Linked DNA regions of Arabidopsis thaliana. The protein of the gene in region 1 interacts with the protein of each later gene in a pairwise test. Each region holds a gene or a part of one and is shown on either strand. Other genes may lie near its edges. The genes, in order: SCAB1 and AT2G32450.

Region 1 (7,256 bases):
GAATTTTTAACTCTTTTTGTCACAGATATCTTCTAGTTAAAATGAAATCTTTGGTTACTAATCTAAAGACATAAATTCGTTTATTGACGAATCTAAAAACCATAAATCACTTGGATATATATTCATTCCCGTTTTTTTCCTCTCTTCCTTCGAAACTGCGTTTCAAACCTCTAAATCGAGCTTTTTGATTTTGAGGGTTAGTGTTGGCTTTGTTGATGAGACAATTGCGATAACACTACTTTTGTGTAGTTCCACTATATCAAAACTTTGTGACTTTGTCACATGTTAAATTTGATATGCATCTAAGGGCAGCTGGATTCGCAGAAGGAAGAGTGATGAGGTGGACGGTGGACCAATGTGGTTTGCTCTTCTTCCTTCGCATGACAACTTAACTGTTTCTTGTGCATGAAGGAACAAAACCCTAGTCTACTTTAGTTGTTGATCATGTAGTTGTGATGATCTCTCTCTTTTGTTCTATCTTTTTGTTGTTGTTTGGTTTTAACATTGGAATCTCTGTGAGATCGGTTAGTGAGAATGATCGACGATCATGGATTTTCGGGTTTGTTGCAGGATTTTGGCTGTGATTCACTTGCAATATATTGTATGCTTTGGGATCCAGTCCAAAACAAGCAATCCGTTATATTACCTCAAGGGCAAGTAAGATCAAAACAAATGAATAAACACAAGCCACCCGTTACATATAGATTCACCATCACCTCTTACTTCACTGCTCGATATTTTTACACACAATACAAGTACAATTCAAACAAATGCCTAAAACCTATATAAACTACAAAACAAATAAGCTCTTACGGATACTAAAAATCACAACTTAGGTAAGAGCCGTTCTTCAAGGGCTTTGACCCGTCTCTGTTCTGTCTTCTGGACCAGCAAGTGTCACCTGCAACACATCAGTTTCATACTTACATCAACACCTCTCTCTACAAAAACCAAAGTTTCTAACTCCATCTTAGTTATACTTACATTACAATCACAAGCAAATCTTCGTGCAAGCATGATCGCAGCGTTTCTTTCTCTCTCAGACTCAAAAGCTATCACAAATGACACTCCTTTCTTCGCCTGCCAATACAATGCCTGAGCTGCAGCATTTCCACCTCCTCTCACTCCACATAGCTACTCAATATGATCATCAAAGATTATGATATTATAGATCTCACCGTGTAACACTAAAAATATGACAATTTTCTCGGGGTAAAGTAGTATCCTTACCTGCATTGCACTAGAGTAGTACTCTTTTGCAATCACTGTCTTTCCCTTGCAAAGTTTTATCCTCATTTTACCAACATGAAACAAGTGGATAGATTCTGATGTATGGTCTTCCCCACTCATTTGGGTCACAACTACCTGTAAATTACAATAAGGGGAAATATAATATACATACAAGCACCAAATATATAAATACTAATTCCGAGTGTTAGAGAAACCTTACATTGAAATCAACATCGTGTTTCCGTACTAATGCCTCGACATAGCTACCCAATCCAGCAGCTGCACCAAATCAAGACTTTGTTATGTTTGATAAATCATCTAGTAATGACGAAAATCAGGACCGTGTTTGTTGATTTGTCAAAGTTAAGTAATATCTACTAAGTGACAGAACCTACACAAACCATTTGATCATGTTGACATAAACAATAACCTTTTACAGTAAATAACATAACAATGAACCTGGATCAATCTTTCCCACTGTGGATAACGAAAGCGAATGGCCATCGTAGATGATATCTGCATGCAAGACTCGTCCAACGTCAAAAGGCTCGGGAGCGTAAACTGATTTTGTGGCACCTGAGATAGGAACATAGTTAGGAAACATTTTCCTCAATGGGAACAATGTTAAACTTGATTTTGCCCTATTTACACCAGCCTTTGGAAATATATTGTTCACAATTCCAAAATCATTAGTTAGAAGAAACAATCTGATTTGTAATCGACTAGCTCACAGAACAGAACATTTTAAAACTCAAATATAATAAGAGAAAGAAAACAATGAGAAAGGTGAGTGGACCTGATATAAGCTCCTTCTTGGAGCCATCTGAAGATGAACGGTACCATTGTATCGTACACTTGGAAAGATCAGGTGCATCATTGGAGCAAGGTCTAACTCGCAAACAAGATCCTAGAGCTTCAGTGCCATCTATTTCATATACAAGGGATATATTTTCCTCGCTCTTTCTGCACATTGCGAGCTGAATCATAGAAAAATGTATATAGTATCAGAATCCACTATTTGTCAACCGCATACAGTCACAAATGTGGAAGTTAAGACATCAAAAGGACCTGGAATGCACTAAATAGAATATATATGTGTATGGAATATGGATCCAACTAACCTTCTTTTGTAGTTGAAGAAAATGTTTTGATTTCTCTGCAAGCTGATTTCTTAGTGCTCGAAGCTCATATTCCATATCCATTACCTAAAACAATACACATGATTTGACTTTTTAAAAACAACATAAGATACTAAAGAAGCATCGACTTAGACAGACAGATAAAGCCATTTAAACCCAAGAGATAAACCATCTTTCATCTACCTACCCTGCTTGGTTGATGCAGCATTTTAATCCGCCTAGCTTCTTGAACTTCCTTCATTAGATCTTCCATGTCCTGATACGATAAATTATAACAATACTCTGTTAACACGAATCAATGTTATAAGCATAGGACATTTACAAGATTATGATAGAAGCCATCACTAAAATACTTGTTTCCCAGAGGCACGAGACATCTGTTCATGTTCTCGCAGGGCTTCTTCAACTCTTTGTACAGCTGCTCTTGCACTTTCAATCTCAGCACGTGCAAACGCTCTTTCCTCGTCGACAAGTTTCTTAGCATCCTCTGAGGCCTAGTTAAAAAATCATACCCACTAATCAGCAAGATTATTAGAACACATCTGCATCTTTTTCAAGCTAGCCCATCTAGTAACCACTAATTTACAACCGACAACAGAAGACTAATACAAATGTCCCAAGCAAGATAAGAAAAAGAATCAAGAATAGTAAGTGAAAGATTATGTCTGTAAAGAAACTACATCATAGTTCTTTGTCAAAAGTAATAGAATATAAACTACTCAAATGAAAACAAAAAGGACAGACTCTCTCTTAATCATCTGGTTAGCTCAAGGACTAACAAAAACTGCATGGTATTAAGCCGTGGACGAAAACGTATTTGCTATTTTAGAGGACTTGGTTGTTTCAAGTGAAATGACATAGACGTCTCCTAACTATTCACCTCAAGTGACACGAGAAAAGAAAATATTGTCACTGTCTCAAAGGCACACTTTACCTGCTTTAAAAAAGACGCTAGCTTTTTCACTTCCGCTTTTTCTATGAATAGCTCTCCTTCTCGCTGAGTCAACTGAACAGCTAGAGCTTCAACCTAGCAGAATTCAAAATTCCAAACATACTTAAGATATAGAGGTGGAAGGGAAAAATGTTGGTAATGGGGATTGTGAGACAATTTAAGAACGCAGAACTGAAAATGGAAAAAAACACATTTCGGTTTGTAGAAAAGGCTAGAGGCGATATATATCACCATGTAAAGGAACGGAGCTAAATATGATGACTAAAAGACTATAAAAGAGTAAAAGACTAACCATGGCAATGGCTTCCTCTACATCATCCTTGTTTCTACCTGCCACACGTCCTCTTAGAGACTCCAATGCATCTCGAAGTTTCTTTAAAAGAACATGTTTCTCCAACGAAGTTGCTTCTTTGAGTTTTGCCTGCATTCGTTCCCAACCAAATTAGCCTTAAATTTTTTTTTCAATCATATCATATTTTCACTTTAGCAACCTAGATTAGCCTTCTTGATCCCCTATTTCTGTATTTATAACAACAAAAAATTCTTTGCTAACAAAAAGTAAGGTTATCACCGAATTAAAATCCCTCTTATTAAATCCTATTTAGTAGACTCAATCAACACAAAAACTAACATAAATGTGCAAATCAACTCATTACATAGTAACCAAAGATAGTAACAATACAAGAGACACATTTCATCTATAAGACCTCAACAAAAAGAGAATAATATCAGACCTCCTCAGATAGCTTAGCAGCTGCAGCCAAACCCTTCTCAAATTTATGAGCGAGGTCACGAACAGACAAACGTTTCTGCTGGTCCATAAGCTGCGCTGTCTCACGCGCAACAACCTCTTTCATGGACATCACTTTAGGATCGTCTTTAACATCAAATATTTGATCATTAGCTCCAATTCTATAATTAGGAAATCTACTTGAAGCAAATTTCACATCTGCTGATACTGCAGGAACACCATCTCTCTGTAATGAATCCCGAAAATCGCGTGTAACCCTTGTCATTGTATCTGTTTATAAACAAAACCAAAAATGCTTAGACAAAAACAAAATAAAAGACAGAAAATGCTAGTAGATGTCTAACCACTATGAATAGTAATATACTCCAATGGACTCACAGATCTGTTGTTGAATCTTCACAAAAATCTAAAACAACAAAAACAAAACATTGTTTTTTTCAGTACCTACGCCAATGTTGGAAATAACAATGGATTCAACACACATTTAAAAACATTTTATAGCTACAGAGATAAAGAATTGATGGATGTCAAAACCCTAGATTACCAAACAAAAGAGCTAACAACAACTACCCATATACCAATTTAGTAACAAATTTCAAAGAAGATAGAAATTGAAAGTCAAATTTTAAGAACTTGAAATCGAAAATCAGAACACAAAATACTGCAATAATCACGAACAACGTCGGAGATTTTCAAGAGAACAAAGCTAAACACTTCTCACCTGAATCCGATTAATGGATCAGACAAATGTTTTGAGTTGAGATCGAATTTGAGAAGGTCGTCGAGAACAGAGAAGGAAGAAGAAGAAGATTTGGTCTGAGGAGAAGGCAAAAAGTGAAGTTTGAGAGAGTCGTAAGCATTAGCTTTACTAAAAAGCAAAGACCGTGAAAAAATTGTGGCTTTGGTGGAAACACTGTCTTTTTTCTTTTTTTCTTTTTTTTTTAATTTAGTTTTGTTTAAAAGTTTTTCTGGTTTAGGTAATAAATTGTTGCATAATTTTCAACTCCGGTTGATGTGTGTCGCTGTCGGACTGTTGTTGTCTGAAACTTAAAAATCACAGAGCGGTCACGGGTTCTGTTTCGTGTTTAACTGCCACGATATTCTTTTTAATTGTTTTTTAAAAGGGAAAGTAATCAAAATGATGACACTAATAAGAGTGGTTTGGTGTGAAACTTAGACCTTTCTTACACAAATTTGGTAAAGCCAAAACTTTTTTTGGTCATGGGGATTTATTTTTTTTTACTTTTTATTTTTTTTTTTGTCATAAAGAAATTATAGAATCTTGTTGTGAAAGACGTAAAATATAATGCCCAAACAAAAAAAACGTAAATTGGCGGATAAACTATAAGTTCCCAAAAAAACATAAGCTGGCGGAAAAAGAGAATTCTTCGGAATCTAGATCCTAAATAAAGAAGATGAAGTAAACTCAAATTATAATGCAGAAAATATCAAACCAATCTCGAAAAAGGACGATAGTACAAACTAAGATCCATATTAACAAGACAAAATCTTAAAAAAATAAGAGATCCAACAAAGCAGAAACTCCACTTCTTTTAACACACCTGCAAGTACGATTGATCAAATCCAAAATAACATTTACCACCTCCTATCACGTTGAGAGCCAATCTCTCGAGAACCAAGGATATCATAACCCGACATGCAAGACCACTAAAAGAAACACAAACACCATTCCAGATACGACGATGACCACCAATTCGTCACTTAACGTCTAGATAGAATCCTTCAAAAAACAATCAGATTACGACAAAATTGTAAAAGAAGGACAAGAAGCGAGGCAAAACTTCTCAAAACCCACCAATCACAAGATCACCAATCACGAGTAAAGCCACAACTATTTTAATTAAATCATACAATATCCTAAATTAGGCTTTTCTTTTTGATAAATTAAAAAAAAAAAGATAGGATCATCCAACAAAAATAGTACAAACAAAAAATGTCAAAATCTTGCATCACCTCTAAAAACCTTTCATGTTAACAAAATCTTGCATATTTTTGCCCTATACAAAGTCTTGCATATATACAAAGTCCTTTGGTATATTGTTGTTAGCCACCTTATCTAACTCTTTTACGGGCTCTGTCCTCATGAAGAAGAACAATTTTTTTAATAAATTGTTACCTTACCACATATAAGCTTAATCTGGAATGGTTGTGATTTAATCAATGAAGATATTGCCTCAAACCTGAATAGAGGAGTGAAAGTGGATTTCAATTGGTTGGTTATCAAACCCATCAGCATGATACCTGTTAGTTTCTCGGCCATACCACTCAATCATTGCCATAAATATCATTGAAGTCTACTAGTCTGTTTGAGACATTCAACTCACACAAGTGGTGGGTTATTTTCTCTGACAAACACGGCCAAACAATAAAATTGCTGAAAACAAGAAGTTGCCTAAAAAACCAAAGGACTTGTGAGAAAAATGGCAAATGCGGGCTAGGATGGGCTGTGGATTAGAGGCCCAATATGCCTAATGGGATACAACACGACGTCGTTTAGACCAGCCATAGTTCTCTTGTCCGCCAAGACGGGAGAGACTAAGGAAAAGCATAAGAAGAGAAGAACCAAAGAAGAAGCAAAGAAGCACTGATAAATCTCTGCAACTCAACAAATTTCTGAGATTAGCTATGGAAGGTTCTTCATCTTCGTCTTCGTTAATTTCCAAATCGGACGCTGAGTTGGAGGAAATGCTCGATCGGATGCTGACGAGACTCGCTCTTTGCGACGACTCCAAGCTCGAATCCCTAGTCTCTAACCTCCTTCCTCTTACCATATCTTCTCTTTCTTCTCAATCTCCCGTTGTTCGCAACAAGGCAAGTCAGAGATTTACGAGCTCTTCCTCTGAATTTAGTGTTTGACGATTTCATATTGATTCTTAGTGTGTGTTGATTTCATTTTTCAGGTTCTTGAGATATTGAGTCATGTTAACAAGAGAGTGAAGCATCAGCATGAAATTGGTTTGCCTTTATTGGCTTTATGGAAATTGTACACAGATCCTGCTGCTGCTCCTATGGTTAGGAACTTTGCTATTGTCTATGTTGAGATGGCTTTTGAACGAGCTCCTGCAAAGGTTTGCTTCATCTTAATAGTTGTTGGAATTTGCGTTTGCTTGTCAATACTTTGGAAATGAGAGGACTGATTTTTGTTTAAGTTTTAATAGGAAAG
Region 2 (5,508 bases), 2.4 Mb from region 1:
GAGCATGTCATGGATTCATTGGAACGGGAGTATACCAACCTTAACTATGGAGTTCGAGCAATGGGTATTAATCTTCCTGGGTTTGCTTATCATAGAGCTTTGAAGGTAAAACATTCAACAACCTCTTGTTTCCACTTGTGCATATCTCTTGGGATTTGAAGAGTAGTATTTTCCACTTATACAGGCAAGGAAAAAACTTGTAGCTGCCTTTCAGTCCATAGTGACTAACCGAAGAAATCAAAGGAAGCAGAATATTTCATCCAATAGAAAAGATATGCTGGATAATCTAATAGATGTTAAAGATGAAAACGGAAGAGTCTTAGATGATGAGGAAATTATTGACCTTTTGTTGATGTATCTTAATGCGGGTCATGAATCTTCTGGACACCTCACTATGTGGGCTACCATTTTGATGCAAGAACACCCTATGATTCTGCAAAAGGCTAAGGTAAATTAGAAGATATGTTTCACAATTTCAGTTTATACTCTTGAGTTGTGATATTCGTTGTACCATAGGAAGAACAAGAGAGGATCGTAAAAAAGAGAGCACCGGGACAGAAGTTGACGCTTAAAGAGACACGTGAAATGGTGTATCTTTCTCAGGTCAAGTTTCTGCCTCATTGCAACGTAATTTTTGGTGTTTATAACATTGTATGAGTTGTTACAGTCTTTTACTGATGGAAAGAGCTTTTTATCAGGTTATTGATGAGACCCTTCGAGTAATTACATTCTCTCTGACGGCCTTCAGGGAAGCAAAGAGTGATGTCCAAATGGATGGTCAGTAATCAGTATACTCATTACCTACATGGAACATGGTAAATCATCTTAATTTTTTATTATACTCATTTCTCATGTCTCTTCTTTCAGGCTATATAATTCCAAAAGGCTGGAAGGTTCTGACTTGGTTTAGGAACGTCCATTTGGACCCTGAAATCTACCCGGATCCAAAGAAATTTGATCCTTCAAGATGGGAGGTACGTAGAGATAAGCATTCTACAATGAAATGTCTTTGTAACTGTATTTGGTGATGCCGTCTCTTATATGTCAAAAGTATCTGAACATTGTCTGGTTCCTTCTACAGGGATACACACCAAAAGCAGGCACATTCCTTCCTTTTGGTTTGGGAAGCCACCTATGCCCGGGAAACGATCTTGCCAAGCTCGAGATTTCCATTTTTCTTCATCATTTCCTCCTCAAATACCGGTAACTTCCTCTCTCTCTGTATATAGCTCAGCTTTCAAGTTATCACTCTGCATGCAGAATCGTAATGTTTTGTTTCCAATGGCATAATCACAGGGTGGAAAGGAGCAATCCCGGATGTCCGGTGATGTTCTTGCCTCACAATCGACCCAAAGATAATTGCCTAGCAAGAATCACCAGAACGATGCCATAATCATCATCTTCAAACTAGTAGACCCCTTAGCAAATATATAAGCTTCGTCTCAGGTTTCCATTGTCTTCATCTTCTCTTAGAACTTGATCCAAACCGGTTCGGTTTGTGAATTTGGTTTACTAGGATGTATCAATAGTTTGAAGGATTTGTCAAAGTAATGTTGAAATTTTTCTCTGGTTTAGCTTCAAATTTGGTTATAAAAAAGTAAAATCGAATTTCTTGAAATAAAACCTAGCTTGATTACCACATCAAGGTTAGTGTGAATTGATTAAACTAATATCAAGGTTTGTTCTTTATTTCGCATTTATTAGCCAATAATGCGTCATTTTATCTCTTCTCTATCACATTTTCTAATTACAAGTGGAGAATTGACTTCTTCAATAAATATTCAATTTATTGGTATTGACTATTGAACTATTTATATAGTTGTACTTACTTTTCTCGAATTTTAAAAAAAAAATTAGAAAGACAAATATTTCGTAAGAATTAATCAAAATAATAAAAGATAGAGTTAAGCCCACAACAGCAGAGTACAACAACACCGTTATCTCCTGTCCACTATCTCTGAGTTTTTTTTAAGACACAGAGAGACAACAAATAGACAGCTCGGACTCTTGTACCACTTTGATTTCTTCTTCATTTCTTAAATTTAGCAACTTTTTTTCACAATACAAACCAGAGGATTAAGTAGCTTCTCTCAACAAAGCTTCGAAATTGATCCGTAATTAGTGTTCAATTTCGTGTTTTTTCCTACATTGGATTCTCACTTTTAGATTTTGTGGGGAGGGAAAGATAAAAGGTTGGATTTTTATTTTTCCGGTGAGGAAAAAATGACGACGAGAGGAAGCAGATCGGAGAAAGTCAAGAGAATTTTCCAGCAATTCGACGGGAATCTCGACGGAGGATTAAGCCGTGAAGAGATGTCAGCTCTCGTCGTAGCTGTGAACCCTAGGGTTAAATTCAGCGACGAACAGATAAGCGCAATTCTCGATGAAGTGTTTCGAACCTACGCTGAATTCATCGACGGAGATAAAGGTTTGACCTTTGACGGTCTTCTCCGAACTTACGACGACGGTGCTGGAGATGTTGATCGTGATTTCGACGCTTTAGGGATTGAGTTTAACGAAGAGACAAAGGGTGCCTCTGAAGCTTCGTCATCTTCGATTACTGATGAGAGAGCTGTTGAAGCGCAGAAGCAGCAGAGAACGGCAGCTTGGGCGGTTTCGCCGAACCATGGTATTGTTTTCGATGAGACGTGGAAGCTTGTTGATGATTTGGAGATTTTGGTTAAGAGATTGAAGTCTAAGCAGGAGAAAGATGGGAAATTGAAAGTGGATAATAATAATGTTGATGCGTTTTCTGAAGCTGGATGGTCTAGAGAGTTAGGACCGTCTTCGGATATTTCGGATAAGAGAATCTATTGGGAAGAATCGAGTCATGATTATGGAGTGTTTGTGAAGGAATTAGGTGTGTTGAGAAGTAAAGCAGATGGTGCTAGATCAAGAGAAGAAGCTTTTGATGGACATATGGCGATTGGTAAGGTTTTGTATGAGCACCAGTTGTTTAAAGAAGCTCTTGTTAGTTTTAAGAGAGCTTGTGAGTTGCAACCGACTGATGTGAGACCTCATTTCAAAGCTGGGAATTGTCTTTATGTATTGGGGAAGTATAAAGAGTCGAAAGACGAGTTCTTGTTGGCGTTGGAAGCTGCGGAGTCTGGTGGGAATCAATGGGCTTACTTGCTTCCTCAGATTTATGTCAATCTTGGTATCTCTCTTGAAGGTGAAGGTATGGTTTTGAGTGCTTGTGAGTATTATAGAGAGGCTGCGATTCTTTGTCCAACGCATTACAGAGCCTTGAAGCTTCTAGGTAGTGCTCTGTTTGGTGTAGGAGAGTATAGAGCTGCTGTGAAGGCTTTAGAGGAAGCTATATATTTGAAACCGGATTATGCTGATGCGCATTGTGATTTGGCTTCGTCGCTTCATGCAATGGGGGAGGATGAGAGGGCTATTGAGGTTTTCCAGAGAGCTATAGATTTGAAACCTGGTCATGTTGATGCTCTTTATAACCTCGGTGGGCTTTACATGGATTTGGGTAGGTTTCAAAGAGCTTCAGAGATGTACACTAGAGTTTTAGCGGTGTGGCCTAACCATTGGCGTGCACAACTCAACAAGGCTGTGTCCTTGTTGGGTGCTGGAGAGACCGAAGAAGCTAAAAGGGCTTTAAAGGAGGCCCTGAAAATGACTAACCGAGTTGAGTTGCACGATGCGGTATCTCATCTGAAACAGTTGCAGAAGAAGAAAAAGGTCAAAAAAGGAAATAGTGCTAACGAAGAAGGTCCGTTTATTGTTGTGGAATCTTCCAAATTCAAGACGGTAGGCGAGAAGACTACTTTAAGGCCAGATTTAGCCATAGCTCTTCAAGTTAGAGCCTTCCAGAGAGTCACAAGGCTGTGGAAATGCGATGTTGAAGCATTAAGAAGAGAGATGAGAGACAACAATGTTCCTGTATCCTATTCCGGCAATGGAATTCCCACAAAATCTATAAGGAGACCAAACTTAGAAGAGATTCTCCGGCGTCTGCTTAATGTCCTGAAACCTGAAACTTTCCAAGGAGCTATTAAGGCCATAAACGAGAAAATCCTCTCGGTTCTTGATGATTCAGGGTCGGGAAGAGTCGATTTGGGAATGTTTTACGCAGTGATTGCTCCTTTATGCGGTGGCCATCCAGACAAAAGGAAAAGAGTTGCATTTGATGCGCTACTTTGGAAACCGGTAAACGAAGGAAGCTCTCAGATTACAAAAATGGAAGCCGTCAAATACATCAAACTCTTGAGAGCTATCTACATACCATCACAAGGAATGAGTGAAATGTTAGAAGTTCATGGAGAAAGCGATGATACTTCGACGGTAACATTCAACCAGTTTCTAGAGATGTACGATGATTCAGAGTGGGGATTTGGTATCATGTCGACTGTTTTTAAACTCGAAACAAGAGATAGGAATCGACACGGGAACCAGGTTTGTTCAGTTTGCCGATATCCGATTATCGGGTCTCGGTTTAAGGAAGTGAAAACAGGGTTTAGCCTCTGTAACCAATGTTACAGCGAAGGGAAGATTCCTCCAACGTTTAAACAGCAGGAGGAATATAAATTCAGAGAGTATGCGAGTGAAGTGGAAGCCATGAAAGCTAAGTGTGTTTGTTTTTCAATGCAATCTCATAAAAAAACAATAGCCACTTGAAAAATATCCATAAGTTTTTTTTTTTGGTGGTATAATTCAATTTCCACAGTTCTTGTTTCTTAAATCTTAATCTGTAGTCTTTTTTTCTTAAGTTGTGTGTATAGTTTTGATGTAGTGTGTGTTGGTGAGCAAGTATGATTGATGATTTCTTGTTGTATTTTTTTTATTTTCCACTCAATTTCAGATTAATATGATTTTGTCGATGGTCGTGAATGGAATAAACTGTATTCAGTTTCTAGAATGTAATTTCTGACATTTTCAGGCTTGGCCAGTTTCTGACTTTCTTGTCAGATTCAGAATTTCATAGCATCTGTAGTCATTTGCATATTGATGCTAAATTTGGAATGAGTGCTTTTTCAGCTTTTTATCTTTTAGTACTACTTTTTTCTCGCATTGTGCTATTTGATTCAGTATTATTATATGAAATGACATTTTAGAGAAGGAATTATTACTATATTTTGAGGAACTTAAGAAGAAAGAAAACTGTAGAGTGAGTGACATCAATATATCCAGATAAAGTAAAGTGAAAATGTAGAAATAAAGAGACTTCTGATCCAAGAACTGCAGTGTGATGTCAGAACTCAGATAAGGTGCAAGTACAAAGATTAAGGAACCTCATAAGAAAAAATATGTTATGGACCTACTTGCATACATAATTATTATCTTTTCTTTCTTTGGGAGCCGCAATTTAAGGAAATTATTTCTTGGAATAGTGTGAAATAATATGCAAATGACATAAGCCAATGGCAATGGATGCAACTAGTTGGTTCACTGCCCAATCACATTCTCCTCCCCCATTTTCTACTCTCGAGCTCTTACTTGTTTCTTACGTTTGTTATAGTAATTCTCCTAAATAAAAGTCAAGTACACATCCAA

The links.
Region 2: the proteins of SCAB1 (region 1) and AT2G32450 interact in a two-hybrid assay, tested with the Arabidopsis thaliana proteins (one large-scale study listed by BioGRID).

The regions. Positions count from the first base shown.
Region 1 is NC_003071.7:11,403,407-11,410,662, forward strand, and holds SCAB1 (plectin-like protein), read right to left. Parts: upstream 5,016-7,256; 5' UTR 4,794-5,015; intron 4,479-4,793; exon of another isoform or gene 4,417-4,478; intron 4,343-4,416; 5' UTR 4,338-4,342; coding exon 4,056-4,337; intron 3,743-4,055; coding exon 3,614-3,742; intron 3,397-3,613; coding exon 3,304-3,396; intron 2,864-3,303; coding exon 2,723-2,863; intron 2,626-2,722; coding exon 2,557-2,625; intron 2,436-2,556; coding exon 2,352-2,435; intron 2,208-2,351; coding exon 2,027-2,207; intron 1,807-2,026; coding exon 1,690-1,806; intron 1,510-1,689; coding exon 1,451-1,509; intron 1,366-1,450; coding exon 1,231-1,365; intron 1,135-1,230; coding exon 985-1,134; intron 902-984; coding exon 851-901; 3' UTR 573-850; downstream 1-572. Other genes in the region: AT2G26780 (ARM repeat superfamily protein), read left to right, coding at 6,719-6,904, 6,994-7,161, 7,252-7,256. UniProt on the Arabidopsis thaliana protein: Plant-specific actin binding protein that bundles and stabilizes microfilaments (MFs). Has no nucleation or capping activity. Regulates MF reorganization during stomatal closure. The binding to F-actin is insensitive to Ca(2+) and pH.
Region 2 is NC_003071.7:13,776,391-13,781,898, forward strand, and holds AT2G32450 (Calcium-binding tetratricopeptide family protein), read left to right. Parts: upstream 1-1,929; 5' UTR 1,930-2,223; coding exon 2,224-4,632; 3' UTR 4,633-5,008; downstream 5,009-5,508. Other genes in the region: KAO2 (ent-kaurenoic acid hydroxylase 2), read left to right, coding at 1-105, 185-448, 517-603, 699-777, 868-974, 1,082-1,203, 1,297-1,393.